Coturnix japonica: one gene and its partners. The protein of the gene in region 3 purifies or fractionates together with the protein of the main gene of each other region. This does not show direct contact. Links are inferred from orthologs where the notes say so. Each region holds a gene or a part of one and is shown on either strand. Other genes may lie near its edges. The genes, in order: USP46, SUGT1, PHLPP1 and USP1.

Region 1 (7,589 bases), on a different chromosome or scaffold from region 3:
ATCTCTGAAGAGCTCCGCTATTCATGTACCCAAGGACCCCGAGGTTACTCTACATCTTTTTTTTTTTTTTTTTTTTTGTACTAGTATAATGACATGATAAACCACAAAAAAAATGTCATATGAAAAGCTCACTTCTGTTCCTCCTTCAGTGTAAAGTGCTACATTTCCTTGGTTTGCAAAATGGCCATAGATAAATCCGTCTTTTCAATCAACGTTGGTGTAGAAGCTAGTATTCCACTTTCCCCATTATTCAATGAGAAGATATTTCACATTCACAGTAGATTACAGTGGAAAAATATTTTTCCTACAGAAAACTAAAATAGATTTAGCTGTGGTTCAGAAGCAGTTTTCTGAAACACTGACTACCAGGCTTCTAAAAGAAAAGTACCAAAAGCAACACTGTCTCATAAATACTGAACGAGAGTGAATAAAACGTAACAATTAAAAATATATTTTGTGAGATGAGAAAGTGTCCTTGCAAATACTAGAACCAGTTCTTGGTTGCCCTTAAGACAACAGGAGGTTTTATGCTGTTGATTTAATTTGGATAGGCATTTGGGTGATAAGGTTCAAGCACTGTACAACTGTGTCAAACCAAGCAATAGAGATACCTAGTGCTACCTGTGTCTCATCCTGCTTTCTATTCCTTCTCATACCCTACTGACACATTCTTCTACACTCTTTCTTTGCCTTATTCCAGTATGTGTGTTTGATGGTTTTATTAACCACTGTACGACTACATAGCCAGCCAAATTCACCCAGTAAAATCAGAAACAGTAGAACTTAGTCTGATCAAAATGCTGTCTAATATTCAATAATAATAATAATGTAGGATGGAGCCCTGTTTTATGTAGTGTACCAACAGCACACCTGTAGCTGGACTGTGTAATTTCAGTCCTCGCAGATATATTGTACAAGAGCAGCATTGTTATATCTGAAAACTCAAGTCAAGAACGTATTATATTGTTTTAACAGAACAATAAACTTAATCTCTATAAATGCAGTTCATCTGTGTGTTACATGTGTCATCATACTGACTTTATTCCAGTGCTCTGTAAGTTCTGAAATCTCACATCACCTGTACTATCACATTGACTGGGCATACAATATTGCTTAGTTCCATTGTAATTTATATTCCTCTATGTGAACTTGAGGCCTAACATTATACACTGAAAGTTTTTAACAACCCCAAAGCTTAAATGATTTTGGAAGATTAACTTCCTTCACAGTTGAGAGTAGCACATAAAAAAACAAAACAACAAAAAAAAAACCCAACCTATGGCAATTCCAGTAATTATGAAGCAGATTTTTTCCCCCTTATATTTAAATTGGTTAAGTAAGTCAATGCACTCCAAAATCATTTAGAAAGCTTTTAACAACTTTGGGCTAAACACAGTGAGCTCTTCCATATAAAATACTGCTCTATCTGGATTTGGTTTAATAGTCCAATTCTTTTGATGCGTTATGTTATTCCATACAAATTCCACTAAAAACTGACTACAATTAACTTCTCAATTAGACTTAAGAACAACAAACTACCCTCCCTGCCTGAAAGAAAGTTCTGTACATCAAAAATGAACAGTTATGGTGAATAGCACATAGGCCATTTAATGAGAGACAGGAGATATAGTTTTTCAGCCATACAAGACGAGGTCTTTGTAAAAGTCAGTTCATTGGGCCATCACCTTCTTTGCCTGCAGAGCTGTTGTGTGCAGTTGTCACAGTTTCCCAAGTCACTCTCTTGACTGGTAGAATAAAATATAACCAGATTCCGAATTTTTTGATATATCAGAGGTCAGTCCATAAAATTCTTCAATTGCTTGAGCATCTATTTTCTGTAAAATAAATAGAATCATTTAACGTATTGCTAAAAGAAATGCCAAGCATAGATTAAAAAGCTATATAGAAACAGAGGGCAAATTCATTTATATGTTTTAGAGCAGCAATCAGCAAGTTCTCTTTGCAGTGAAATGGTAATTAGTGTTCAGGTGCTAAACCCTACTGATTGCTGTCATTGAAATCAATAGGAACATTCACCTTGGAGAACCTAAAGGAATTAGGCTTTTTCAACTAACACAGTCTGTTTGGAATGCAGTAGTAAACAAAAAACTCAAATGTGGCCTCATCTTTCTGAAAAGTGACAGAAACCCTCTTCAAGACATGCTTAATTTCCAATGGTCCTGAAGATCCAATTCTTAATTTACTCCAATGGATTTAAACCTGGGGAACTAAACTCAGGACCCCAGTTATGCCAGGTGCCACAGTGACATAAAGGGTTTGCTTGGGAATGAATTGTGCTATGTGTAGATAACCTGTAATAGCTGTAGACCACATCCTTCACTAATTTTCATCCAGACAATCCAAGACTGACTACAAAGTTCAGATGCTCTTATAACCTCCAAATTGTTGAAGAAATAAAACTCCAAACAACCCTAACTTCAATCAACCTAATTTTGCCAAGTGATGTTGTCAGACTGTAAAATAGTTCCTATATGTTCTAAGTTTTAATGAATTAACTTGATCTTATTATGCTTAAAAAAATATTCTAAATTAAACACTCAAAATGCAATATTAAAAATGTTTCATGTTGCTTTAAAGTAAAACAGCTCTCTCTTACACTGACAGGGTGAGAACTACACCATTAATCATTCTGTTTGCAATCTATCTTCCTGACAGAGCCATGCCAAACGTCACATTACAACCAAGCTGTGGCTTTGCAGACTAGTAATCTATACACAGATCTGGATCAGAATTTTAATTCCAAACAAAGAGAACATAAACTCAAATGTTGTGCTCATGGCCTTCAGCATACTGACCTCTACAATGTCATCATCAAACAAGAGCCAAAATCCGTGACTTTTCACGATAGTAATATAATGCCCACGATTCGGTCCACTGAAAAGGTAAATGAAGAAAACCCAATATAACACTAGAAAGTACTACTGGGTCGATTTTGATAAGTCACATGTCCATAAAAAAGCAAGTAAAATTATAGTTACATGCTAAGAAGAATACAGTAAACCCATTTCTAGCAGTACAGTATATATGTTCTCTTTTTTTCTGCCTCATTGCAATGACCTAGTCAACTAAATGCATAATGTGCTGTTTTGATTTGTGCTATGACCATCTGCAAATTGATCTACACAGTACTTAACAATTTCCTCATAGCTGGCATCAACTATGGCAAATATTTTTAAAATGACACGAATTAATTTTAAGGGGAAATTGTTTGAAAATATCAGCCATGAATAGTAACTTACTTATTGTTTTTGAGATTAAAGGAGAACAAGATATTTCTCTAGCCCCAAGGATTTGTCTGTTTGTTTCATGTCTGACAATGCTTCGCTCCTGAGAAGCTTTAACAAAGGTATCGTTTTCATTGTCCTGACAGGAACAGGCCGATCTGCTGCAGAGCCTACATACTAAAAGCCCATAGCCCTTCTGGATCCAAGCTCTCTAACTGGAGTGATGAGGAAAGAGTCAGCTTCCTCCTTCCTTTCTCCTGATTTCAGTCTGGTGACTTTGGGAGACTGAAGCACTGTTTTTCAAAGAGGTACGGATTTACTGTGAGAAAGGGTAGCTAAGAACTTCAGGCCAAGATATACACAAGCTGGGGCAGCAGCACAGCTTATATCCCCTCTTGCACTCTCCCTCCATTTTGTCAGGCATGCCTCATCCTTGACAAAATGCCTGGAACCTGTAATAGCTTGGGATATATGTGAAGGAGTCTTACCTTCCACAGTGAACAACAACAGCTACTAAGTCGTACATTCGGTCTAAGTTGACAGCATCACCAGACGTGTTGAAGAGACGTAATTCCAGGGGAAATACTACACGGTAAGACAGCTTAGTATACCTGTGCAATTGTTCCATGTACTTGAATCTCTTGAGGTGTAAGGCAAGAATCATTGGCAACTTTTTTACTCGCATCCTGTGAAACCATAAGAACGCACATGTCCAATTCATAGCCACTCTTTCTTAATGAATAAATGTTTGCATTAGAAAAACACCTTGTAAGAAACAGTAGTATACTAGCAGTAGCTTCTACACTAAGTGGTGTGATAGCCTTGAGTCTGTCTGCAAGTTCTCTGGCCCACGCAGATAATGCATGTGGGGTGTAAATTCTAGAAACTTGATAAATGTTAAAAAGAAGGCTTGTCAAAGTCCAGGAGCAAGATACTGAAACCACCTTGCTCTTTGCTTACCTTTTCTGTGCATCTTGTTTACTGCAGCAGGTTTCACAGTAGTATTTCTGCTCACTACATAATGTCTCTGTGTTACTGAAGTCTCTGTAAGTAAATACAATTATCAGTTCCACAAAGTTCTTAATGCTTTTGCCCCAGTGCCACGCTTGGACTGTGGAACTGGAATCCTAAAAAGACACACAGGATGAAATCTTGTTTCCACTGAAATCCAGTTTTCTAAAGCACTAAAAGCAACTGTACTGGGATTTGCAAAGGGACTTACAGTATCTGGCTGTAGTGACAGCTTTGCATTAGGTGCTGAGACTCTCTATGCAATACCAGAAAAGGGTCAACTGTCTCTAAATAGGACCTATATCCTCATCTCTTACATGTCAAGGAGCTGCCTAGATTTCAGTGTAGATAGGCACCCATCCAGTGCCTTTTCAACTTATTTATAGAACAGAACATCTTCCAGCACACTTCTTTCATCCCCAGGTAGTTCACGTTTTATAGTGTTCTCCTGTAAGATAAGCCTGAATTTTCTTATGCAGAAAAATAAACTCAACTTGGGCTTCTGCATCCCCCAACCTCTGAACATTTATCCAGAAGTTATGTGGTTATACCTTTATGATATCTAAAAAGGAAAGCGTCAGCTAGTATGGTGGTTTTTGTATATATCACTAAAGTAAATATGCTTAGAAAAATTTCTAAACAGAGCTATTGAAGGGAGGCAGAGTTGGCTTAATTGTGCTGCACAGTTCGCAGAAAAGATTTGTCAGAAGTCTCAACGTTTATACGCTTTGGAACAGAACTTTAGGTGTCTAAAAATCTTAACAGGAAAAAAATGACAGTTGTTTGTTTTGCCACCTCTAGTGTTACATTGCAACTAGGCAGGTGTTTTGAGAACTGCAAAGGCAGGCATAAGCACCTATCGTCCAGTTTAGACACAGGAGGTTTTTTTGTGACTGGTCTTTAAATAGAGTATTCTATCATTCAAACACCTTGGGTTGGAAGGGACCTTAAAGCTTATGGAGCTCCTACACCCTACTTGGGCAGAGACATCTCCTGCTAGATCAGGTTGTCCAGAGCCCCATCCAACCCAGCTTAGAGCACTTGCAGGGATGAAGCATCCATGGCACTCAGCTTCTTCTGTGGGCAACCTATGTCAGGGCATCACCACCCTCAAAGAGAATACTTTCTTTGCATTATCTAATCTAAATCAAACTACCCTCTTATCTATCCTCTACCTTCTGCCTAAAAGGCTGTTACCGTATTCTACTAAAGCAGGTGAGACACAGTCATAGAACCTAGAGGCATTACTTGTTTACTGACTCAGCATATTAATTTATTTGCCTGTACCAAGAAAAAAACAAGTAGCCCACATACAAGCAGTAAGTATTTTCTTGGGGGAAGAGATGTATGGAGGAAAATTAAATGTTTTTTTTGCCCTTCAAGAGTGCAATTTCTGTAGTTGTTACATCAATCAAGAATTCTCAGCATGGTACTCCTAAAACTTGTTTCACACTTAAAAATAAGAGCTACAGGCTTCAGAAACCTCAACTGCAGAATGAGTTGCAAGACATTTCTAACTTCCTCCTATTCCATTAATGGGCCAATCTGCATCTGTTTATATGGCATTTTAACGAAAAAGAGGAATTTACTCTCTCAGGACATGCTAATTCATCACTGACCCTCTACACTCCCATATTTTTAGAATTCATTTACTGAAATGTTGTATTGCATGGATTTTCTTTAATGTATCACAGAATCACAGAATTGTAGGGGTTGGAAGGGACCTCTAGAGATCATCGAGTCCAACCCCGTGTACCCCATGTACCTTTTCAATGCAGTAGTTTTTAAAGCTGTAAAGACACAGCAGAGCAGTTACCTTTGCAATAGCTATTTCTCAGGACACTTGTGTCCACAGAGAAATCACTGCCATCTGATTCAGGAATTGGTTTATACCTTGTATGCTTTCTCTTTCTGCAACTCCATAGTTGATGTGAGGTATCAGGCAACGCTTCCTAGGCATTCCAGAACAGCTGTTTCAGCAGTTGTTAAATGTTGGCAGCAAATTTGGAGCTTGAATGAGTAATTTGGCCAATTCATAATCATTACTTTAAAGCAGTAATATACTGTCTTAAACATAGGTACCTGCCTATTGCGTCAGTGCCAAAAGTCCAGATATTTTGTATCCCTCAGAGTAACCATTCATGCAAATCTGAAAATCACATAGATCTCTGAAGGATTTGTTTAATAAATAGGCATGAAATATGAGCAGAACTGACTTAAAAAGTTATCACTATAATTTTAGGATGAGATGTGAATAAGAAATTTACATGGCACAAAAGAAGACTTTGGGAATCTTTTGCCCTCTAAGGACTTTAGTGCTCTACAAAGCACACACTGACTTTTAATACACACATAAATCCTAATCAACAAAGCACTTGACTAAAAGCTTAAAGATAAGCACACACGAACCTCTTTGAAACCAATTATTATTCTGCAGCGATTCTTCCAGATGACAAGGCAATCAATTTTTCCCCAAGAGAGAAATTGTTTTTTCTTTTCCAAACACATACATTGAAAGCAAGAGTAAAACAAAATACATTAATGTGTATTTTGTCACTAGAGGAAGAATTCAGCTTAAAGTAATATTCTTTTGCTTAGGAAAAGTTCAAAACACAATTCTATTCCACTTCTCTCTACTGCATCTACTAGATTTGGAAAATATAACAAAGTCAGACAGAAACATTCATCAAAAGGATGCATTCATTTACCTTAGACAGTGTGTAATTGATGTGTTCTGCTCCACATCAACAGAAAGGTCAAGAAAATCTTCATCTTTGCTACTAACCTGTAGCAAAAAAATATACATGTAAAGCAGATTTAGTAAAACATCCTGCATCCAAATGCTGTATATATCTATGTGCAAATGATAAAAGATGGAACAGTTTCTCATAACAAATTACACAAAGTATTTATTTCAATATATATATTTTTTTTCCTAGATATTTATTCTGCCAAATAAGCAACCAGACTGATCCAGTTTCCAACTTCTGTCTGCTCCAGTTATCCAAACCCACTGACCACGGGCTGGTGACTGCACTTTGCTTCCACTCAACAGGGAGCATCATTCCATACGTTAGCTCTGGTTGATGTAGTACATATGTTCTACTGTTACACTATACAGCCCAGCTCCTTATTATACTAGAATTTTATCTGTGTATAATGTATTACATTATGTAATCTCTGTTTACACCCTACATGATTATTTCCACTATTAAGAATACTGTGAATACTGTGAATATTGGTTATTTTTCAGATGAGATTAACTAAGACTGTAGCATAATTACTGCAGATGAATTTAGTCATAATCATAACAACCAATTCTGTTCATAAAAT
Region 2 (7,589 bases), on a different chromosome or scaffold from region 3:
GTGCCGCACCAACTTCCTTGTCCTCACTGATGCCAAAGGAAGATCTCTTTGATATCAGAACCCTTCATCACCTCCACTCCAGCTCACTGGCACTTATCCCTTGACTTACAGCTTCTGGAACCCTTTTCTGTGTTCCTGTGCTTTGACAAGAACAAAACACACTCTGCCTTCAAAACCCATGAAGCACCTTCCCCATTCCCAAGTTCACAAGAAAATTTTACTTATTGCTTTAACCTCCACTAAAAAAAAAACATCCCCCAACAATGCATCAAAAGCTGCCATTACTGGTTCAACTAAAGTTTAGAAGTGGAACACACGTGCACACTGACTGTGCTCAGAAATGTGCTGCTATTAAATCCAGACCTGCGAGCTTTGCTCACAGGATTGAGATGGACAAGGAAGTCTTCTATTTGATTGCTACAAGTTTTAGCCTGAAGCTAAAGCATTATATTTGCATTACACGTGCCTCAAGAGTACATAAGTAGCAACGCGTTTTATTTTACTTTATGCCTTAAGCTAAGTGAATGGAATCCCAGAGCAGTGAAACAGTACCCATTTAATACAAGAATATATTGTGCTTATCTGATAAAATATTCCCATGGACTTTCAGCAAGTGAAAGTAGACAGAGGAGCCACTACTGCATTCTCTACAGTAAGTAAAAGCAACTTGTTTGGCAGAAAACACCTTCAAATTACCTCTTCCCTTTTTACTTAAGAGATTTTTTATCTAGGTTTTTCCCATAGCAAGTCCTCAGTAAGCACTGCTAAGTGCATCAGATGATATTTATAAAGCAAGGCTGGCCAAGAGACAAGAACTTGATTTCATGACAAAGTAAAGCTCACGTATTTGTCTTCATTCTACATTAAGGAGTAATGGAAGAGGTGCCTTCCAGTGCATAACTCAAAAGCACTCATCTATGAGAAACAAGTTCAAGTTCCTGTTCCAAATCAAATCAAGTTGCCATACAGGTAGCAAACCATCTCAAAACTGGGCAACTGGTTCTCACAGTAGTAAAAAATAAACATATATAAGAAAGAAATAGAGTAACAATCCAGAAGAGCCTGCACAACCAGGAACGCAAGGAAAAATAGCCATGCATTCAAAACAGCACCAATGATAAGAGCAAGGAATGAGGTGACTTTCAGGTGGCTGCCAATATTTGCAAGTGACATCTACTTCTGGAATAGTGGAATATTTGTGTTTCTGAACTCCCAACAGTGGGATGTAGAACAAGCATCACTACCTCAACTTTGTAACCCATACCCCCTGCTTTCACAGAACCTCAGCATGACTGAGGATGAAAGGGACAACCAGAGGTCACCCGGTCCTACCCCTTCTCAACCAGGGACACCTAAACCCAGCCATCCAACAGGCTTTTGAGCGCCTCCAAGCATGCAGGCCACTGCAGACCTGTATCCAGGAGGTAAAGACAGAGAAAGTATTTAAGTTCCTTAGCTCTGTTGTTTGGAAAAGCTATCATTCAAAATTTGAATCACTATGAAGAAGGTGCACTGGTAGAAACAACGCACTGCTGCACAGTGACAGATGCAGGCACTCTCCTCTACAATGAGAGCAATTCTGAGCATGCAGAAATTTCCTGCTGACTTGCATCACGTTGGACTACAGTCCAATCTATCACCAAGATAATATCAATTTTTATCTGCACCAACAAGAACAATTTTGTTCTTACAAAATTAAGAGTTTGGTCCCAGACAAGCTATATGTTTTGTTTTTTTTTCCTTAGGCAGCGTATTTACTTTCTTAGCTACATGCTTTAATTCCCCTTCATCAAAAACCAAGAATGCAAAAAACGAAGAAGCTGCTGTATATAAAGTTGTATTTACAGTTTTATTTAGCAGTTAAAGAGCAAACAATTTTAACGTTGTTGTAAAGTATTTTTACCCAAAGTTGCCAAGATCTAATAAGTTATTGAACAGAAATATCAGGCATAAGGCAATCATCCTTAACAGCCCATTAGAGATCATCCCATCCCCAAAGAGCAGAGCTGATAAAAGGTGGTAGAAAATTTAGACTGTGTTTGATTCAATTTCCCAAAACAGAGGTGATGAAAAGAGGATTCCACTCTTGAATACATCTTTAACATCTGCAGATGAAGAGATCTGTAAAGCACGCCAAATGTAAAGACAATTCCTGTTTCCAAGGGAACATTTCAGTGCTTTGAATCCGAGAATGCTATGTTCATATACAGTGGCCAGTACATGATTATGGCAACACAGATGGTAAAAGATTAAAAATAGGATTAGTATTTCTTCCATTCCATATCATCAGGAGGATTTACTTCTACCTTCCTTTTACCAACATCTGACCAGTTGGTGCTCAGAACTGTGCCTCCAGACTCCATCTGCAACATAAGGAAACGTGTGTTTAGTTTGGTACAGGAATTCCAGCAATATAGAAGTCACAGCAGATGGCAAACTCTGAAGAAACCTGAAGAATTGAAACTTCGTGCAAAAACAATTTACATAGGAATTTTGTGCGTGTTCGTTGAATGAAGTCTGACAGTCATCAGCCCATAAACCTCAGCCTAAAAATACTTGTTACTAGTACTGGACATGATGAGAAGTCAATTAACAGGATGCTTTTAGAGGGTCACTCAACATTTTTGTAAGCTGTACATACAAAGAACAATAGAAATTTGATTCTTTCACCTCAAGCAACAACAAAAGCTCTCTAGGAACCAAAAACTATATTCCCTCTCCTAACACTAACTGAAACAAAGAAAGCAACAACAAAGTACAGTCTTCCATTGAGACCTGTTATACCAACATCTCCCACTGAACCAGGGCCATTTATTACAGGCCTAGGGTCTTGCTGAATAGAAGCCTTCTGATGCATGCAAAGCTCACTACAACCGTGACACTGTGCAAAAGTCACACTTTTCTTTAGAGAAAGAGTGATGACTTACAAATGATTTGTTCATGGCACGTTTCACTTCATCGGTACCATCCGAATAGATTTGCTGGAAAAGTTTATTTAAAGCAGCATCTCCTTCTAGCTTTTCGTTCTTTTCTTCTTCTTTGATTTCCACTACCAGCTTGTCCCAGTTCCTTGTATAGTGAGAGGATGATGGATATAAGTGCTGGGTGTCTGAAAGATGGAAGCATTGGTTAGCTAAGCATTTTCTACAGACTTGGCTGTACTGCAAACCGCAGCTTTACATGCATGTGTCTAGCGAGTCTGACATAATCAAAGTTGGACACGATTCATTCCAACATGGGCTATTAATCAGTGTTGAAACACTGCAAATGCATTACTTTTCTAGAGAAGCAGAATACCTTGGTAAATAACGCTAATATTTAAGTACTAATATAAGTACAGCAATGCAAAGAACTTCAAAACAGCGACAGGAATAAACATCTGAACAGATAAAAGCCTAGAGGAATTAATGACAAGCATACATCCTCAACAATTCATCAGATTAACAGAAGTTACGACTAAACTTCATAAATTAATTTTAGTAATGCCCTGCAGCCTATTTCTGTCATTTTCTTCCACAAGACTGTAAGGCTTTCCTTTGTAAATACAGGACAAATTTCATTAAAAACTTTTAACACGCCAGTTGTTTATATCTGAAAATACCTTCACAAAAATAGAGCTCTTAATGGTGAATTCAGATAACAAACCTGGTACAAACTGCTTTAACTTCAGAGAATCTCCATCTCCCTCCAGTTTTTCCCATCTTACAGCTTCTGGTTTCTTCATTTTTATTTCAACCTACAAACCACAAAGCCAAGAACAAAATTCATCCAGATGGCAAACAGATCAGACAAACAGTTTCAAATTAGTTGGGTTCTGTAACAGCAAGAAAATAATAACATTTGGTTTAGAAACAATCTCTATCACAAAGCCTGCGCTGAAAAAAGACTGGCCTACGTTACCAGATGAACTTTTCATAGTTTCGTGCGGGTTGGAAGGGACCTTAGAGATCATCGAGTCCAACCCCTGGGATTCGAGCCTCTGTGTAGCAGAGCAGCACTTCTACCACTTGCGCCACAGGGGGGATTCGGGGGATTCGAACTCCGGGCCCCAGTGTTGCAAGGTGGCGTCTTTAACTTGTGGGTCTTAAGTGACATGTGAACTAAGCTCTGATACAAGAGCTAAGCAGTCACATCAGAGTTTCACCTTTTATTTAGTATTACTTTCTTATGCTCACTATTTGCTTGATACTTTTTGTGAATTATGGCACCCCGGAATAATGAAAGATCACAACACCTTTACGCTGCATGACATAAAAGTACAGTTAAGCATCTGTTAATTGCCAGTCAGCTCTAGTAATTAAATAGAACTTTTGAATGACTGCAAAATCCAAGTGCTAGATTTAATTTTCACCCATCAACACAAACACACAGTATTTGTTGTATACTATACAAACCAGAGAACCACCCAGGAACTATTCTGATCCTTCTATTAGAGAAATGCAGAAGCTGTACTCATTTGGTTCAACCAACACACTGCTACAAGAGAAAATTGACTAGTATTCATTGACAGAACTGGTAATTAAAAGTGGATATGGTTGTAATTATCATAGAAGAAACAGAACTAAGTGAAGCATGTCATGCCTCTATATTCACAACTACACACCATCCCTACAGACAACCACATGGAAATAGTTCTTCCACATTTAACCTTAACCTTCAGTCAAAGGATAACAGTTGCAAAAGGACCTGAGGAAATGGCCACAAGTTGTATGAGGTGAGGTTTAGACTGGACATAAGAAGGAACTTCTTCTCTCAGAGTGGTCAGGCACTGGAATAGCTGCCCAGGGAGGTGGTGGAGTCGCCATCCCTGGCAGTGTTCAAGAAGCGCTTGGATAGGGAGCTAGGAGATATGGTTTAGTGGTTTTCTGTAGGTGTGGTAAAAGGAGGACGGTTGGACTAGATGATCTTGTAGGTCCTTTCCAACCTTGTGATTCTATGACGATTCTATGATGAAAACAAACTGCAAAACAAGGACTCTGTAGTGTCACTTTTAGGTGGCAGACTCACTTCAGAAAACATCGAGGTTCCTATGATGTTATCAATTGACTCAAATCTGTGCCTGCTAAGCCTCAGCAGTTCCTTATTTCTGCGTAGCTTAGCATAAGAGAACTCTTAGCTCTTCCTAAAGCCACTATAGCCTGGAGATCCCTGCAGACCCAAGAACAAAGGCACCTCTGTCAGAGCTAACCCGAGGGATCCCAGCAGCACACTCCTTGCACAGCGTCGCGTTGAACTGAAATGTGAACTTTATTTCATCCATTCTTCTAATCAGTCATTGATATGTAACAGCCCAAGACGCCTTATAAAATTAAAGAGCTTTTTTCATTTCCAAACTGTCATATTTGCAATCACGCTGCATTTTAAGAAACAGAATTTTTCATTACTGTTGCTCCTTTTTTTCCCCTTAGGGAAACTACCGCTTCCCTAGGCAAGGTTAAGTATGCATTTCCTACCACTGCCTTGCACTGAGAACAAGACGACTTGAAGCATAGAATGAACGTCCTTCAGAACCGAATGGAGCTTCAATTGTGATGGTTTTGTTTTTATGGATCCGCATATGAGATTAGTAGCTCCACATCAGAACTAGTGGGTTGTTTGTTTGGTTGGTTTTTTTTATTGGATTTGGATCTTATGAATCCAATGTTTAAGTTAATTAGCCACTTACAAGGATACTAATTGGTCAGCAGTGAAACACTAAGTCTTAATTTAAACCCACCTGTCTATCCCGCCACTTCCCACACGCCTCTTCTCAAGTTGCACAAACCATTATCAGCTCAGCTACACATTTCTGCTGAGGAGGCCTTAACACCACGATTTTTATAGTCAATTAGTGCATCTCCACTGAACGGCCTATACTGACAATAACAAAAACCAGCACGTTCTCAATGCTGAACCTGCGCAAACCTATGTCACTTCCATTTCCCTTCTGCCTGTTTCCCCCCTTTGCTACCTCCTCTTATCCTTATGCTTCAGGCTTTCATCAACATATTTCAGTATTTCAAACACAGGCTACATCATCTGTATCAAGAACGATTTCTAATGCAGCAAAATACTGAACGTGAACCTCTCAACACAGACTTCTTTGCAGAGTACAACCCTCCTCAAAGATCCCTTTGGCTACTCAGAGCACTCTGCCCACACACTGAAGAAAAAGTCTTCATACTTCTGCTGTTCCAATAATCCCCCTCTCCTTTTTTAATCTTCTAGTTGGTACATTTTCCTCTCTGAAAGTGGCCCTGAGTCAGTACTATACGGCAAACATCCTCAAGGAAGAGGAAATGCTACAAACTAATTCCCAGTGTTAGATACAGATTCCTTAAATCTCAACCATTTCAACACCGCCAAACTGAGTATATTTCGCTGAAGAAACTGAGACAGAACACATTTATGACATAAGCCTTTATCTCGTCTACTCCATCCACTTCAATTCAACTCACCCATTAGGGAAAGCGGCAGGCAGGAACAAAACTAGGGAAATCATTAGCTGTATACCGTTATACAACCAGGTCTTCCAAAAATAAAGCTAGAAAATCCTGCTTGTGAAGATGCCTATTTCTGCTTTACTCGCTCTAAGGAGAAACAACTCCCAATTATGTGCACAAATGGCAATGAATGCATTTTAATGAATATTTTCCAGCAGATACTGATAGCTATTGCATAGACAAGTAACATCATTTGTGCCACACCTAACACTGTTAGCTTTTTTCTCTCCCTTGAAAAAGATTCAGTACCCAGGCAAGAGAAATACATCTCAGTGTTTTGCCAGCTCCTTTGATTTAACATTTATATTTCATTAAACATATGCCTGTGTGCCTCATGCCAGCTTTAGGATAAGGCAGGAAAAATCCGCCATAAATTAAGTGTTTTGCATGCCTGTTTAAGAAGCTGGCTCTTGTTGTTAACCACTTCATCAAATGCTGCTTTAAAAACCTTCTCTAACTAAATACAATTTAAAAACAGGTTCAAAACCTTTAGGCACACGAAGGCTTAACTTATTCACAGGTCCTGGTTGTGCTACAAACTACATACTAAAGATATGATGCACAGCTACTCTAAGCCTGCATCCTGTTTTCACTGTTACTCCTTATTGAAACTCAATGAATGCAATGAATGTCAATGAATGCAACAGAAGCAAAGAAGCTCCGAAGCTGCATTTGTCAGAAATACAAAGCAAAGGACAATGCAAAAGGAATGATGCCTTACACCCACCTGTACCCAATGACTCTCCCTCTTACAGCCACATAGCTCTGAAAGAAGTCTGGCTTCATCTTCTTTACACTGTTCTGTTAGGAGGGAAGATTTCCTCCCCTCAGCCTTTTCTTCTTAAGGTTGAACAGAGTCTCCTTGTAGCTCACGACTTGCAGCCACCTGACCACCCTGACAGCCCTCGACTACAACAGCGTCCTTCCTCATCAGATGAGATGCAGAAAAATGACCAAAATTCTTTTAATAAGAAAGTTCTGGTATGCACTAACAAGTTGTGAGAAATTTATTCTAACTTTTACTGCATCTCTTATTCTACAATTCATGCTAAGGGAAAGTTTGCTTGGAAAATTAGTGTCGAGCTCTGATCAGATGGATGAAGGAAA
Region 3 (7,589 bases):
ATTTCAATGAAGCAAAGCACTTCACAGCGCAACAAGTACAGTTTACAAACATAACAGACATGAAATAGCCAGGACACCTTTACAAAGACCTTTGAGAAGTCATAACACCTACTTTGATCACTTTTATACCTTCACAAGATACTGTCTTCAACTACACTAAACCACACTAGTTAAATAGTAGACCTTAACAAAGGACAGGAGAAAGTGAATTAACAAGAAGTTAAAGTTATGTGTGATAGAGAGGTGACTTTTTACCATTTTATCTTTTTCTTGACATACATATGATCGCCTTTCCTTGATTCCAAAAGCTGACAAGTACAGAACAGTACAGCACGTTAAGTTTTACCTGGAACAGTTACATTTAACTAAGCAGTTCTAAAATCCATCACTATTTGGATATCATAAGTAAAGGTTATGCATTGAGCCTTGCTCAACTGCTCGCAAAATCTGGGTTCTCCCAAGACAGTAAGAATGACCAGCACACAAAAGCCATTTGTAAATAGGGTTCTCTTTAATATCTGCTGAAGGCATCAATGAAATACTGTCACTTGTTGTGGACTAGGCCTTGTAACACACCAAGAAACATAATCTGTTTTTGCCCACACACTTTGAATTTTCTTTTCATCATCTTACATATCTGTAATATTTCAGATAGAAGCTTTTTTCAGATAAGTAACTGTAATTTATAGTATAGTAATACTGCACTAACTAGAACTATGGGAGCCATCAGCATTCCATGCACCATTTCATTTTATCTTTTGGTGTAAACATTCATGTCCTTCAAAACTCATGATCCTAAGCGCAACCTCTTCCTCAAAGAAAAAACACTAAGTCTCTGCAAGTGCTGCAAGTTATGCAACAGTCAGAAACATGATCTAATACAACAGATTCATGCCCAGAGGTTATTATGACAACTAAATAAATTGTTTCAATACCACTAATTTAGATTCAATTTAGATTTCTTTTTCCCCATTTTTCAAATACCTACCTTAGGTCCACATGTTTAATATGAGGCATCCTTTTTAACACTTGCAAGTTGAGTGTATCCACACAGTTTCCTGACATACAGAGTTTATCCATAGCAGTCAGCTTCTCTAATACTCCTGGAATGTCAGTGAATTCGTTGAAGGACAGACTCACATAGCTGAGCTGATGCATATGCTCCAATTCATCAGGAAGGGACTGGAGAAAGTTACCATCCAGCAAAAATGTCTGCAAGCTATTAAAGATGGGGGGAGGGGAAGGGAGAGTGAAGAATGTGAGTGACCTGTTAAATCACATATCCTTCCTATAAACACACAAGTCTGCTGTGGTTACGGTGAAATAAAATATACAAAGGGCATAAGAAAAACAAAGGAACAATGGTTTAACATCTGCTACAGAAGATACTGAGCAATTAAAAGCCTTGCTAACTATGAAATTTTGGCCATGCTAGTAGACACCTTCAAACACCTCCACATATTTGATGACTGAAGCATGTAAGCAAGGCTTAAAGATTCAGTTCACCATGAGTGTGACCCTTGTGTTAAATACTGGGGACTTGAAGAGTTTCAGATGCAAAGTGAGCTTACTCGTAGAGCAGAACTGCTTCTATATAGATCTTCAAGACAGTTTCCCTTGACACAACCCAGTTAAGCTTATATTGCTTTTCATAGCAAGATTATGTGCAGAGTCATGTTTGTTGCCTTTATTATAAGGCTGTGTACATTAAGTTTTAAGAAAGTACTTGCTTGTGCATCTCGCCTACAACTGCTGGAACATTTCTGAGGGCATTGCAGGACACGTTGAGCTCCGTCAGGGTTGGGATACTGCAAACTGCCAGTGGGAAGTCTCCTAAATTATTATTGGAGAGGTTAAGGCTCTTCAACTTGGTGAATCTACAAAGAGATGAGAAAAAAAAAAACAGAGAAAAAGTAGTGGAGCATAATAAACACCTAGTTGCTTTGCAACAATTAATGTGAAGTAAGACTGGCTATTTAAATAAAAATCACACGCGCTTTTAGTTTATGTACTCCAAACAAGCATGGAAACTTTCAGGTACTCAAGTTCAGCACCACTTGCAAGAGGATCAATCACGTTAAGCTGGTATAGGAAAATAGGTCCTCTTGAACAACACACTTAATGCACGTAACACAGGTCGGATCCTTGTAATCCACGTAACATACTTCATTTCTAAAAAGGTCTTCTGTGGCATCTGATCCTGTACTAAACACTGCTGAATTTCTCAACACATTTTTTGATTGTAAGACCACCTTAGTGATGCTGGTTATGAGTTGCTGGAAACCTCACTTATTTCAACACAGTTTTGTAGTTTTGTTCAGCTCAGCTCCATTCATGCAAATAGATACTACTGCCTTGCAAACAAAAAACCTCATTATAACGCATCAGGGTTTGAATTAAAAAAAAAAAAGGGGGGGGGGGGGGGGGGGGAAATAAAGCAAAATTCAAGTAAGACTTCTGTAGTGACAGACAAATTCTCTGGATTTTGATTAGGTGGTATCCATCAGGATGTAAAAGCTTGATCTCAAAATGCAGTCCTCGACATTTCACAAAACTCAAAATTCCCTTGGTTTATCCAGTCAGCCACAGAAGCAACTTGTGTTTGCTCACCCTATTAAAAATGACCAAGAATGAACAAAAAAACCAAGAGGACAATTCAATTAGCCAGCACCCATGTTCAGCAATGTTATTATGGTTGCCTAACAACCACTGGGAGGTATGCTGAAAGACAAGTAAATGGATGAATGAAAAGATCTGCGTCAGAATCTGATACATGGGAAGAAGTTTCTTTTCTGGCATGGTTTATTCCATAATATTTTATTTAAACTTAATTTTCCCTTCATTAACTCTCAAGCCCTTCATTTTGTGAGCGGGCTTTTATATAACATGAAGCAAAACTGCACCTACAAATCCTCCCATTTCACATGAGAGTGATCTCAGATAGTATGTGCCCGTGCATCCATAGCCTCTGTACTGACCCAACACATTCTAATCTTAAAGCACTTCTTCCCCAGTTAGAAAACAAGAACAGAAAATGCATTGAGCATTAAGTCACTTACAAATCTTCAGCACCCAGGCCACTGAATAAAACAACATGAAAACACAAATAGTGCCTCCATAGCACATCTCAAAGGGGATGTGGATTTTACTTACCCCAAGAGACAAACTAAACACACTTAATATTTACAATTGTTTCAAACTGACATGGGAACACTTTGCCATCTGTTGGTATTTTGGTACGAAGATGGAGACAAAAAAGAAGGAAAACTCTTGGCCAGAACTAGCATAGATTTTGAACACCCCATATTATGCTGGAGGCAGAAGAAGTTTGGAACAGAGTTAGATGGAGAATAAATGAAATCTTGCAATCAAATTACTGCTGCAGGGAAAGAAATGCTACCGTGCAGAAACAATGACTAATGCATCTCTAGAGGGAGAACGGTAAAAATAAAGAAGAATGCTAGGGTAAGCTAACTGATGCTAATAAGGGCTGTTAGCCACACACACACCAAAAAAGTTAAATGAAATACATTCCTGTTCTCCTATTTTAGAAGAAAGGGCTTAAAAATCGTGAACCTAAAAACTAATACCCGCCATCCTGCATTTATCTTGAAGATTACCGTAGTCTTAGGCCAAAGATAGAATGCCACCCTCAGCTCTGGTGGGACAGCTGCTCCTCAGTTATCTCAAAGTCAGCTACAAATACAAGTGCCAGTGACTATGAAAAAAGGCATTTCAAATGAGTTTTTCAGTATTTAGGTGTGTAAAACAGTGGTGAAGACAGGAAGGCAGTAACTAAAATCTGACAGATAAGTTTAAAAATGCAAACATTCCAACTTTCAAGTCAATCACAAAAAAAGAATTAACTAATTTAATAATCAACACGTAGGCTACAGCTTTTGCCTGTACTACTCTGGAGCCTCAGGAACAGTTTCAGTGCTTTTGCCCATCAGCCAAGTGAAAAGTGCAGTCTACTACACGACTCCAAACACAATCTTAAGATAAAATTACAGAAGATCAAGCTGTTACATTGAGAAAAGAGGATTTGAGGTGGGGAGGTAGAAAAGGAAGAAGCTAAAAATACATGTTTACATCAACAAGCATCAAGGCAGGGTTCAACTTAAATGTTTTTCTGCATGCGTTCTCTTGTGGAAAATCATCCCAGGTCCAGGGGAAACATTTTTTTAAATGTGTTGTATCTTTACTATCCTAAGGTATGTTTTAATATTAAGGGTCTTCCGTGACTTAATTTGTATACTGAACTTCCAGTAATCTAATTAATAAAGCCATGAACTGTACTGGTCAACTGGTCTATATAACACGAGAAGCATCTCCAATACTGGATACATATAAACCAAAATTACAGAAATAAGCTTATGTCAAATAATCCACAAAAAAAAAAAAAAAAAAAAATTACTGTTAAATCGTACTTAAAGTTGGAAGACAAATACTTTAAATATGTTCATCTGCAACATGCTAAAGTCACATTCCTTCTTACAAAGCAGCATCAATTACAATAAGCAGCAGCATGTGCCCAAAGTTAGTCTGCCTCTCATCTCTGATCACTCACATGCCAAGCTAACTACGCCACAAATGGGTGGGCGCACTCCCGTTATGGAGCACTGCCATGCAACACATTTGAAACGCTGAATTGTTTACAGTGCTTCTCTTATTGAGATAGATTTACAGTCAGTAGCCACGCTATAGGTGCTGCTGATGCTATAAATCACAAATGAGAAAAATATTTTACAGACTTCATTTTTCTGATGCTGTTGAGTTTACATGACGTTGAGTTTCAAGCATTTTACAGAACATCTACGCTGTTTTCTCACCCCCAAGTCTTTATTCCTAACAGAAGCTGGGGAACACAGTGATGTTGCCCCCATAGGAAAGAAGAAAACATTGTTCATTTGAGGTATGACATGGTAATAACCTCACATCAAGTCAGTATAAATGAATTCCTTCCTCTTCTTCTACCCTCCCTGGTTCTAGGAGACGTTACCCCTTAGAAAAAGTCAAACTGAAGAACAACGCTGCTTGACATGCTGTGTTCCGTTAGCTTAGTAGACTTTCTATCGTAATGACCAGCGTAGAAATACTCATCTGGCCAAAAATAGTCCTATTTTAATCTAGAGCAAAGCATTCAAGTGTCAGCTCTTGCTTTTAAACACACAACACGACTGAACACTAATTGCCGTAATTGAGCAAAAAAAAAGCATACTTAATCCTGAAGCTGCCACTTCAGGAGTGGTATTAATTTGACATATGCAAAATGAGGAGAGGGGCTAACAAGAGTTGTTCATACCATGGCAAAGCAATGAGCTGACACGCTAACTTCAAATTCACATCTACTTGATGTGCACAAAGGGATTTCCATTATACGGTACAATACTTGTCTTTCAGTATGCTTGGAGTAGGGTAAGTATGTTCAAGATGGCCATACACCATGACTGGAACACAGCCAAAAAGCCTAGCCTAACAAAGCCAGTCTCAGCTTACTCTTACCAAAAGCACTTTAACTCTCATGTTATACTACAAACCCAACAGAACACACGGCTTACAGACTCAGACTAAATTAAACAATTGCTTTCCTAATGCCATCTCCAGCATTTGATTTATCTGATGATTGTGCTCTGTGGTTGCAGTTCACCATCACTTCAAGCAGCAACACTGCTGTCCCTCAGCTCCAGCATCATTTGCTAGCAGAACTATGGCACACGAGTCTCTGCTTACATACATGCCTGCTACTTTAGCCAGTAACGTAATCACAATAAATAGTCCAATTTTCTATCATTTTGCAGTTGCATCTGATTCATCCATCCATGGTGTATCACCTAAAGAAGCAGTGTGTCAGAAATAGTTCAGAGCATCTCCATTTACACACAGATGTGTGGCTGCAAGAGCCTTAAATATATCAGACAATTAATAAAATTTAATAAAAAATTAAACTCTCTTGCTCTGCTAAGTTCGTCAAAGAAAAGCTGAACAAGGGAAGACCGGTTCTGCAAAAGCTATGGAAATTCACTTGGATGCCTCAGGTGAAGGCTTTTCCTAACTGAGGTCAATGGCAGCACTCCAAGTTTAACAACAGAAGAGTTTTCCACAGATGATAGCAGAGAACAGGAAGGAGGAACTCTGTTTTGCTGGACAAGACTCCTGTTCATCTAGCAGCCAAGTAACTGATGTCACACCGCACAAAACCAGCTGGAATAAAGTCATCTCAGGCAAGGAGATCAGTTACAGAGTTTGAGAGAAAAGATCAATTCTGAGCAAGTCAGAAAAAACCTGAACAAATTCACCATTACTTATCACATTCCCCATCAGTTGAATGGATAAATGAAAACACAGTTGTGCCTGAATTTTCTTGTTCTTCCTTTTTCTTAAGCCCCACAGGGAAGGGGAGGGGAAAAAAAAAACAAAACACACAAACACAAAAAAACCACCCAAAAAACAGACATAGCTGCAATTCTGGTATTTTCATTACCCTTTATGCCAACGTGCCAGACAGTCATCCTGATATTTCTCTCTCCTCCTTCCATTTAATAATATAAAAGAGGCAACAATTCTGGCATGCAGACTTGAGTCTATATGCCAAAATTAATTGGTAGATTGCCTTAAAGAGACTGCGCTGCAGGAATAACCTTAAGCCCAGGCAGTGATTTTTCAAAATAGAATCACAGATGTTAAGCCAAATTTGGACCAACTTCAAGATAACAGTAAAGCTCTTATTCTATTACAAAGCTGGTAAGACAACAATAAAGACTGGAAAAACAAAGAAGGCTTTGTTAGAGGAAATAATATAAATCTGCATTATTGTTCTTTGTAGTTATCAATTTTTTGCACATACCTAGAGCACACTGCTTCATCAGAAGGGAAGGACTATCCTCATGAAAGAACAACATTCCTAGAAAAGTAAAAATGTGTTCTCCTCCATATTGGAAATGTATATTTGAGATGCAAAAACATGAAGTAGGGGATGGGTTTCCAACCTGAACACGATGACAGGCCACTCAGAAACATTTATTTCTTAAGACTGAACTGAAGTGTGCATGTGAATAGTTATTAGGGCAGCCCTTCAGAGCACGGTCTATCTGTAAAGCATTCTTTGTGCAATATGTGCTACTGAGAGCCTCCAAGTCTTTATAGCTAAAGCAAGGAATCAACTCTTCACACTATCTGTTGTTAACAAGCAAGTGCAGCAGCTATTAGAAAATAAGCATTATCCTAATAAGTTATTACATGATACCTCTAAATATGTGCATGTTGAAACTCATGACAAGAAAAGCCTCACTTTGGAAGCCATATCGAAAAACAATAGATAAGTCAGATTGGCACAGTGCAGCATAGCTGGATTCCATACACTTACTATTTTTCTGATGTGTTATTTAAAGAGATACGACCATTTTTAGCTTAACAGTTCCACTGAATTGAATCTGGTTAACAACTGCAATTTCTATATTTGCAATACATTATTTTAAAAAACGTGATTTTACAGCATGCTTGTTAGTTCCACCTATTTTTAATCCTACGACTACTAAGGAGTTCACTGCTTCCAGACTAAAAGCTGCTACCTTTCAGTTGGAAGTCAG
Region 4 (8,248 bases), on a different chromosome or scaffold from region 3:
AAAGTAAATACCTGTTTATAAGCAGGAAAAAGCAGACGTAAGTGAAGGACTGTAAGCTGCCTGTTACCTATCGAGATCTGAGGCAACTTTAATACTGTCTGGATCCACCTACATTATCAGTGCTGTGTTTGCAAAGTCAGAAGTTAATCAGGACAAGAGATAGCAGAACAACCTCTAGTGTTAACCAGCACAAACAAGAGCAGTGCTCCTTCATAAACACAGCACTGTCCTCCCTCTACAGCTATCTGAAGCAGAAACACAAATCCCCCTTTATGATAATTACTTACTTTCAGAACTTTCTTCAGTTTTGGAAAGTTCATCTTCTTGCACTGGAACGCTGATGTCCTGGAAGTCCTCTCTTCTCTCAGTAAAGCACTCGCACTCCAAGCATCGCGTTCTCAGCACTAACTGGCCCTGGAACAATTTCTCCACTAGTTCAAAAACAGCCAACTCTGTACCTAGAGAAAGTATATGCCAGATCACTTACCAACATGTGCTTTATTCAGAAGGTACTACAAAACCTGGCTATTCTTCAAGGAAAAAAAAATCAAGTGTTACAGACACGGTGCCATAGGGATTCCAAAAAGCTGCTTATCAAGTGTGATTTTCACAGTACCAGAGAATCACAGGACAGCTGGGCTGGAAGGGACCTTAAAGCCCTACTGCACCCCTTCCCTCAAGAGCTGTATTCTCTCACTGACACTGGCAAAATCCATTCCTGTCAGCCACTTAGCAAACATCCTACAATAGGGAGCTACAGAGAGAACACTGCTTGTAAGGACACAAATTCATGGCCTGTAGGATTTCATTTTGTTTTCTCCTTTAAATAACATCCTTTTACATTTTTAATTCCCTCTCTATTTCTAGAGACGACAATAATTAGTAAGAATATTAGCGAAAATATAAGCCTGGTAATGTTTTTATGTTGAAGAGCAATTATGTGATATTGGAGAAAGACCTTTTGTAATCTAAGCTAAACTAGTCAAGGTGTGAAACAAAAGTTACAAATATGCAAAAACAAATTCAAAGAAATACTTCTCAGCTCCTGAAAATGTAGCTCTGTATTCAGAGAGCTCTGCTTGCAATGCAATCTGAAGGTTGACTTCCAGTGCACACTAATTTCCTAACCATACCAACTTTAAGCCCATTCACTTGTTCACCAACCTTCCTTTTTTGGCTCTTTTTCAGTTCCTTTTTCATTATGGCTTTCCACAGGAGATGTTGGTTTGTGACCATCTTCTTTAACATCGTTACCATTTTCACACTTGGCAGATGTCTCCTCAAGCTCACAGTCATCGTACTCTTTCACTGGGTCTTTGGATCCCAAATTTGTAGTTATCTTCCCCAGACTATAAAATTTGGACAGAATACTTGGCTGTTTATATGAGGATTTTAACCAGTTTAGTTTAAGTCGTGACTTCTTCTGTGTTGGCTTTGCGCTCTCGCTCTCAGTGGAACACTTGGCAATGGCATCAGTTTGATTCTCCAGCTTTTCTCCTGTTGCTTTCCTCTTTGACCTGGTTTGTCTTTGATTTTCTTCTGCTGCAATTTGTTCTTTCGATACTTTGGACTTTTTCTTTGCATTGCCACCTTCAGCATCGCTTTTTCTTTTCCCATTTCCTTTGGGTAGCTTATCTTCAGCTACCTCTCCCACGTGGCTACTTGGGATGTTCTCCTCCTCCTCGGCAGAGCTGCCAGTCCCATTGCTCTCGGAGTTTTGATGAATTTTTTCCTCCCCTTTAGCTTTGGGCTCTTCCAAAGGCAGTTTATTCAGTTCTTCCTTCTTCAGTAGCTGACACGTTTCTTGAATATTGCCAAGGATGCACTGCAGAACTTCCTGGGCATCGTGCTGCAAGTAGCCTTCGTACATAGGGTTGAGCTCTCTATTAAAGGTAAATGAGTAAAGTACCAGAGATGAGCTGATCTTTACTAGAACATGTGGCTAAAGACTTAAAATAGGAAAGCTTAGCTCTAAAAGCAGGGGGATGATCCTCTCTGCACCTGAAGAGAAGCCCTCTCTGTCACAGACACCCATGGGGAGGCAGTTACAGCCTTACACAGAAGGGCACTTAAAGACACATCCAGTTGTGACCCAGGAGTGGTACTTCTCAAATCAGTGAGAATGCTTAAATACTCCAGTATTTAAGTACTGCTTAAAATCTACTGCTGGATTTCAATTATATCTGTACCAAATCTAAATTTACTTCTAATCCATAGAAGCAGCAACAAACACAAACCTCCCCCTGTGAAATGCAGGAGAACCTCCTTTGTATAATCGCGTAACAATGCCCCAAAATCTACAATTATCTACTCCCTTCCCCCACAGTTCCCTCCTGCTCTACTGTACAGTTATAACTATGCCAAAACTTTAGGTGAAAATGTGGTGTTTAAGATAATTTGTACCTAAGGGTGTTGAGCAGCCTTCGTGGCTGAGTAGCGAGTTCATCGGTGTATTTCTCTGGGTTCAAAAGAAAGCTGGCTTGAAGCTGTTCAACAGAAAGAATCAACGAGTGCAAACTGCAGATCAGTTCATAACTCGCCAGTGGATCTTCTTTACAGTTTCCCTGCAATGAGAATGAAGATAGTTGCAGCTTTGTCTGTAACAAGCAGTTATGAGTAGCCCCTATGTAATTATCCAACAAATTGGAAAGATTTATTTTTTCCCCACAAGGGGAAACAGGTGAGTTTAAGTCAATTCATTGCTCATTCGACAGCAGAAAAGAAACATGAAAGCCCCAGTATGAACGTTAGAAGCCCAAACTATCTTTGCCCACAGACATAAGGTACGCTAAGTTTAACTGAAATTCAACCAGCTCAGCCTTGTGCTTACAAGTTCACAAAGGCTCTGAACACTCCTGTTTGAACACAAGTCCAAAACCACTCAAACCTGCTTTCACCCAGAATAGTACAGAAAACAACACTGCCCAACTTCTTAAGAGCAGAAGAAAACAGTTCCACTTTGAGAACCTTCCTGGCACACACCCTCACCTGCACCGTTACAAGGTGTACTGAGATGTATTACCTTTTCTGCTTTTAGCTCTCCTTCATCCTTCAACGATTCTTTCTTCTTTGAAATGATATTATATAAATGTTTGATTCCCGTTTTAAAACCAGGACAAAAATATAATACCTAAAAGCAACAGCAGAAAACAAGACAATAGTTGGTCAACCCAGTTATTCAACATTACCTCTCTATGCTTAGGACCCAGCCAGCTCTGCATCTCCCAAGGCCGCTGCTGGGATTACTCACAGCAGGGAGGTGGCCCAAGTATGTAAACTGACAGATGACTCAATCACAGCAATCTATGGTGCACACACTTCCTGTGGTATCACTTTTCTTCCCCTCACTGTAATTAGATTCCCCTGATACAACATCCGGACGTCTCCTCTATAATGGCAGACTAGGAAACCCAGCCACTTGCACTAGAACAGTACAATGTGATTTTTTTTTGAGGCCCCTGAATGTGATCTTACCTGAAGAACGCTGTTAAGGTAACAGGTGTTGCCAAGATTATTCAAGCCCACAAAGGGTAACATGTTGTCCTTCTTCTCACAGCTGACAAGTGAGGGAGGCTGTGCTGCAGGAACAACCTGGTCACTGTCAAACAGAGAAAACAAGCATAAGAAACCTGCCTGATATGCACACACAGCTCTCCAAGCCTCTACCGTATAGGTAGCGGAAGATAAGGAGACAGCTTACAGAATTAATGATTAACACACAGATGAAAACTGTGTCATGGTGTTTCCGAGTCTCCTTGGAGCTCCTCTAACAACCTGCAGGCAGCCTGACAGGCTTCCAGCACGTATTACTACTGCATGCACTTCCAATGCCTGTCCTGCAGAACAGCCCACAGGCCAGACTGAACGACTCAGCTGAGTTCTCTTTCAACTACTTTAATACGCTCTTCATTCATTCCTAAGACAGCACCAAGAAAAAGGATCCGCTGCTTATTTTCTATTGCTCCAGATCCACACGGCTTCATTACAGGATGCACAACAAGAGGATAAACAGCTGAATAACCAAACCAACGACCCTACGCCAACACAGCAGAGCCTTAAAGCCTTAAAGTCTTCACCACCACATATTGCTGTGATCGGGTCATTTCTCCTCTGCCTGGTGGGACTCAGCCCTGGCTGTGCTGCACTGAGCCCACAGGTGCTGAGGGCTGGGAACACAGTGTGGCAGCAGGAGCGGGACCGCTGCTTCCAGCCGTGATATCCTTACACTAAGAGCACGCTGAGAGCAGCCTAAAGGCCCGATATCCCTTCACTAAGAGCACGAACCGCATTGTGAACACGCTTTAACCAACTCAGCGGCGCAACCGGACCGAAACGAGACAACTCTGTCCCAGCACCACAACTTTGTGCCCCGGGACGCTCAAAACACCGCAACCTCGGCCGGGAAAGAGGGAAACGGCAGCGGGCACAGCCGGGCACCCGTACTTACATGTCATCGGCGCGGAGCTCGGCGCCCTTGTGCTCATGTTCCGTGTGCTCGGTGAAATCCAGCGCTCTTTTGGCCTCTTTCTTCTGGAAGAGTTTCAGCGACAGCCGGTTCTTCCTGCAGGGGCTGCCCCGCTGCGGCGCGCTGCCGTCACTCGGGAGCACCCCCGGCATCTCCGGGCGGGCGGCGAGGGGCGAACACCTGCCATATACACACATAATAAACACACATAACAAACACACACGGCGTCACGGCCGCCTCACACCGCCCCGCTCACGGCCTGGCCTCTCCTCAGCTCTCCCCTCCTTTCCTCTCCTCAGCTCTCCTCTCTTCAGCTCTCTCCTCCTTTCCTCTCCTCAGCTCTCCTCTCCTCTCCTCCCGCCGCCCCGCTCCCTCCCCGCCCTCTCGCGGTCCCTCAGTCCCTCATCCCCCCTCCCGTTGCCGTTCTCTCCCCGTAGCCGTGCCCGTTCTCTCACCGCTACATGGCGCCGCCGTTTCCCCGCTCCCCGCCCGCTCTGGGGCCGCTCGCTCCGACACGGGAAACTTGGCGCGTTTTCCGCGCCGCCAGGACCCGCGCCCGCAGCCCTCCTCGCGCCCAAGCGACCGCGGCTGCCTCGCTCAAACGCCGGAGCGGAAGGCGGGGACGACGCCGGCCGGGATCGAATTGCCATGGTGGCGAGCTGCAGCCCTCCTCGGGACGGCTAGAGCGAGTCGAGAGAGACCTCGGAGCGGGCTCAATCGGCGGCACCGGCACCAAGAGTCCGCCGCTTCCGTCAGGCAACGCGCCGGGGAGCCCTCAGGGTCCTCGCAGTGCGCGCGCGGGCGCCGCTAACGGCGCGACCAAGGACCCGGGGCTGGAGAGGGGGAGGGGCGGGAAGGGGCGGGACCAACCACCGCGCCGAGATCACACCGCGGCAGCGGATTGGTCCGCGCGTAGCCCCGCCTCCTTCCGCCTCCGCCAATCACAGCGGGCCGTTTGAACGGCTCAGGATAACGGCCGTTGCGGGGTGGGACGGGTCAGTCTCTCCTCAGAGCTCGGTCGCGCCGCTGGGGGTCGGTGTCAGCTCCGCTACCACACGGAGCAGCAGCAGTCCCGGGGCTTGTTTCACCCCCACAGCTCCCTGCCAACCCTCCCATATTGGCTCGCTGTCATGAGTTAATGCAGGGAAGTCCTTCCAGCGGGACGGTGCCGGAATGGATCCGTTTAAATGCCACAAAATGGCTTTTCCTTTCCGTATCAATCCAGAAATAGAGCAACAGCTCATGAAATATTGATGGCTGCTCAGCAGGCTCAATAAAGGAGCTGTTTGTCCACAGCCTGTGCGGCTCCGGCCTCTCACAGTAAAAGGAATGTTTCAAACACGGCTGCAGGTGTGAGGGGTGGCTGCAAACACAGCCCTGAGATGCTCAAATGCACCGAGTTAAACGATGTGTAATTGTACGGGCTTTGCAGCCACATGTCATAGAAACGGCTGCAGTGGGAAAGCAGAAATATCTGCAGGCTGAACCAAAAATAACCCTGTGAAATGCCTGGAAAGAGGAGATTCCCAGGAGGTGGATGTGGGGGAAGTCTCCGTTACAGAGCAGTGTCCCCTGCAGGGATGAAGCCCCACAGCTCTGCTTGTTGATGTGAGTTATGAGTTAGAGCTACTCACAAAGCACAGAGCTGTAGCAGCATCAGGCCCATCCATCTGCACAGTGCACAGCCAGAACTGCCCTGTGAATTTAGTGAACATTGGTGAGTTGTGAGCAGACAATGTGCTCTTTCAGCACTGCCCCACTCCTGGGGTCACCTCAGTGCAGTAACACCAACCTGACCCAGCCCTGAAGAGCTTGTGCTGGCCAGACTGATTTCATTCTATCAGAACACTTGGTCAAACAGCTTATGGCAGGAAGTGTAAGAAACCATTCACAAACATGAGAATACTGAATATAAAGTGTGAAGACAAGTCTGTCTGTTGGTAGGAGTGGTATAGATGAACATTTAGAGTGATCCTGCCTCCATTCACAACCAGACTGAAGCACGGAAACAAATCATCCAAGGCACTTGGCTGCCTAGGAAAGGAAATCTGGCTTCCCACAGCCACCAGCCCTCAGAGCCTGCAGATGCTCCCACTCCACAAGGTCCTTTTGATCCGAGGTTCCCAGCCCATCTCAGTGATGGGATGTGTCCACCAGCACCAACCATTAGGGCTGGCAGGAGGGGCAGCCTCCTCCATGGGAAACATGGCTGAAAAGTTGAGCCTGAGTGTGACCAGATGTTGCCGGAAAGCTTTTAGATTAGGCATCCTTACAGATACGGCCTCTAGGAAAAGCAGGAAGCAATAAATCAGAGCTTGCCACAGTCCTGTAAACTCCATGGTGAAGCCTGCAGTGAGCTCCTCTTTGTAGCAGCTTCCACACGGCAAACTTCTGCTGTCAGCCAGAGCCACAACACATGAGCACAGAGTGAGCTCTGCAGCAGTGCTCTCCACGCTGCAGTTTAGCATTTCTGAGATGGAGATCCACTGCAGGATACTCACAGCCTTCACTCTCATTTCTCCCTCTTAACCTGGGAGGAAGCACAGCTGGATGAAATCACTGAACTCCTCAAGTTACACGTGCATCTGTCATACCTAAGAAAATAACAATTACACCCACAGCATAGAGATAAAGCAGATTAGAGCATAACCATATCGATATCTGCCTTTGTGCGCTGGAAATCTGCGCAGTGAGGAGGGCTCTGCGGGTAGAGCCAGGGCAGAACATTTTTTCCATGCATCTTTCTGGAAGTTCAGTTCTGCGCTGTGGAAAGAATGATGCTCTGTAAGCAGCTGAAGGGTTTTCCCCCATCTTTTGTCTGTCTGGGCATATTTTATTTCACAACGTGCAGCTCGCTGCTCAGATTAATGTAACATATGGCTCCACAGCCTCGCTGGTAGCAGAGGAAGTGCAGCTTTCCATTCCGAGCTGGAATTCCAATGAAAAGCCAGGTGCTGTATTACAAACCGGCATTGAAATAAAAGGAAAAATCTCTCCCTGGTTGTGTGTAAGCCGGGATAGCGCCTCCCAGAGCTGCAACATTGCGGGAAGCAGAAACAGAACCTTCAGAGGAGCCCAACGCTGTGCAGCCGTGCACCATCTGCTGGCCACATCCCTGCAGACACACACACACACACACCCCTCACATTGATTCCATCAGTCCTCTCCAACATGGATGGTACCCCCACACTTACAGATGTGAGGCCCCCCTTGTACAGATCCTGCCTTGTGTTTGTTTTTAAATCAAACTTGATGGGCTTCCTGCTGGTAACAGGGAGTTGGAGCAGGGCGAGTGATGCTGTTCAGGTTCCTCACCCATCCCAGACACTTAATATGTATTCAGATTAAACACAGTGCTTTGTTACTGTCAGACATACCATGCTTGAGGGAAGCAAAGTGAATCATCCTGGCACAAGAACTTTATGAAGTTGGTAAGACTTGTAACAGTGGGACAGAACAATATGACAGGAAAGGTGTTACAACAAAGGTGTGATGACAGAAGGACCAGCACAACTGAAAGGTGCTAGAAAGGAAGATTGCCTACCGTATCAGAAGAGTCCTTGTTCACAGGGGAAAGCTTCACCAAGGAGAGATCTCCATGAAGTAGAGACCCTTCCTCACTCACAATCAGCCCTTAAATGGGGTCTAAGAGAGATGGAGGCTCCACCCCTTCCACTCACAGCTGAATTGCCTTCACCTGTGCTCCCAGGGCTGACCGGGTCCTTTCCCCAGGTGCTCAATCAGTAGCTCAGGCTGGGACTCAACAGTCCCAACAGGACTCTT

The links.
Region 1: the proteins of PHLPP1 (region 3) and USP46 purify together in Homo sapiens (affinity purification with mass spectrometry; 7 studies listed by BioGRID and IntAct, counting the BioPlex papers as one, with this or other methods). This does not show direct contact. The link is inferred for Coturnix japonica from reciprocal best matches to the Homo sapiens genes PHLPP1 and USP46.
Region 2: the proteins of PHLPP1 (region 3) and SUGT1 purify together in Homo sapiens (affinity purification with mass spectrometry; 5 studies listed by BioGRID and IntAct, with this or other methods). This does not show direct contact. The link is inferred for Coturnix japonica from reciprocal best matches to the Homo sapiens genes PHLPP1 and SUGT1.
Region 4: the proteins of PHLPP1 (region 3) and USP1 purify together in Homo sapiens (affinity purification with mass spectrometry; 6 studies listed by BioGRID and IntAct, counting the BioPlex papers as one, with this or other methods). This does not show direct contact. The link is inferred for Coturnix japonica from reciprocal best matches to the Homo sapiens genes PHLPP1 and USP1.

Annotation. Positions count from the first base shown.
Region 1 is NC_029519.1:59,563,845-59,571,433, reverse strand, and holds part of USP46 (ubiquitin carboxyl-terminal hydrolase 46), read right to left. Parts: intron 7,042-7,589; coding exon 6,965-7,041; intron 4,290-6,964; coding exon 4,206-4,289; intron 3,932-4,205; coding exon 3,734-3,931; intron 2,896-3,733; coding exon 2,817-2,895; intron 1,836-2,816; coding exon 1,734-1,835; 3' UTR 1-1,733. UniProt on the Homo sapiens protein: Deubiquitinating enzyme that plays a role in behavior, possibly by regulating GABA action. May act by mediating the deubiquitination of GAD1/GAD67.
Region 2 is NC_029516.1:148,361,888-148,369,476, forward strand, and holds the end of SUGT1 (protein SGT1 homolog), read right to left. Parts: intron 3,737-7,589; coding exon 3,646-3,736; intron 3,110-3,645; coding exon 2,928-3,109; intron 2,364-2,927; coding exon 2,262-2,363; 3' UTR 1,831-2,261; downstream 1-1,830. UniProt on the Homo sapiens protein: May play a role in ubiquitination and subsequent proteasomal degradation of target proteins.
Region 3 is NC_029517.1:62,911,900-62,919,488, reverse strand, and holds part of PHLPP1 (PH domain leucine-rich repeat-containing protein phosphatase 1), read right to left. Parts: intron 1,878-7,589; coding exon 1,731-1,877; intron 1,220-1,730; coding exon 989-1,219; intron 1-988. UniProt on the Homo sapiens protein: Protein phosphatase involved in regulation of Akt and PKC signaling.
Region 4 is NC_029523.1:24,709,133-24,717,380, reverse strand, and holds the start of USP1 (ubiquitin carboxyl-terminal hydrolase 1), read right to left. Parts: upstream 5,056-8,248; 5' UTR 4,921-5,055; intron 4,646-4,920; 5' UTR 4,618-4,645; coding exon 4,448-4,617; intron 3,599-4,447; coding exon 3,475-3,598; intron 3,131-3,474; coding exon 3,023-3,130; intron 2,565-3,022; coding exon 2,404-2,564; intron 1,884-2,403; coding exon 1,165-1,883; intron 459-1,164; coding exon 288-458; intron 1-287. UniProt on the Homo sapiens protein: Negative regulator of DNA damage repair which specifically deubiquitinates monoubiquitinated FANCD2. Also involved in PCNA-mediated translesion synthesis (TLS) by deubiquitinating monoubiquitinated PCNA.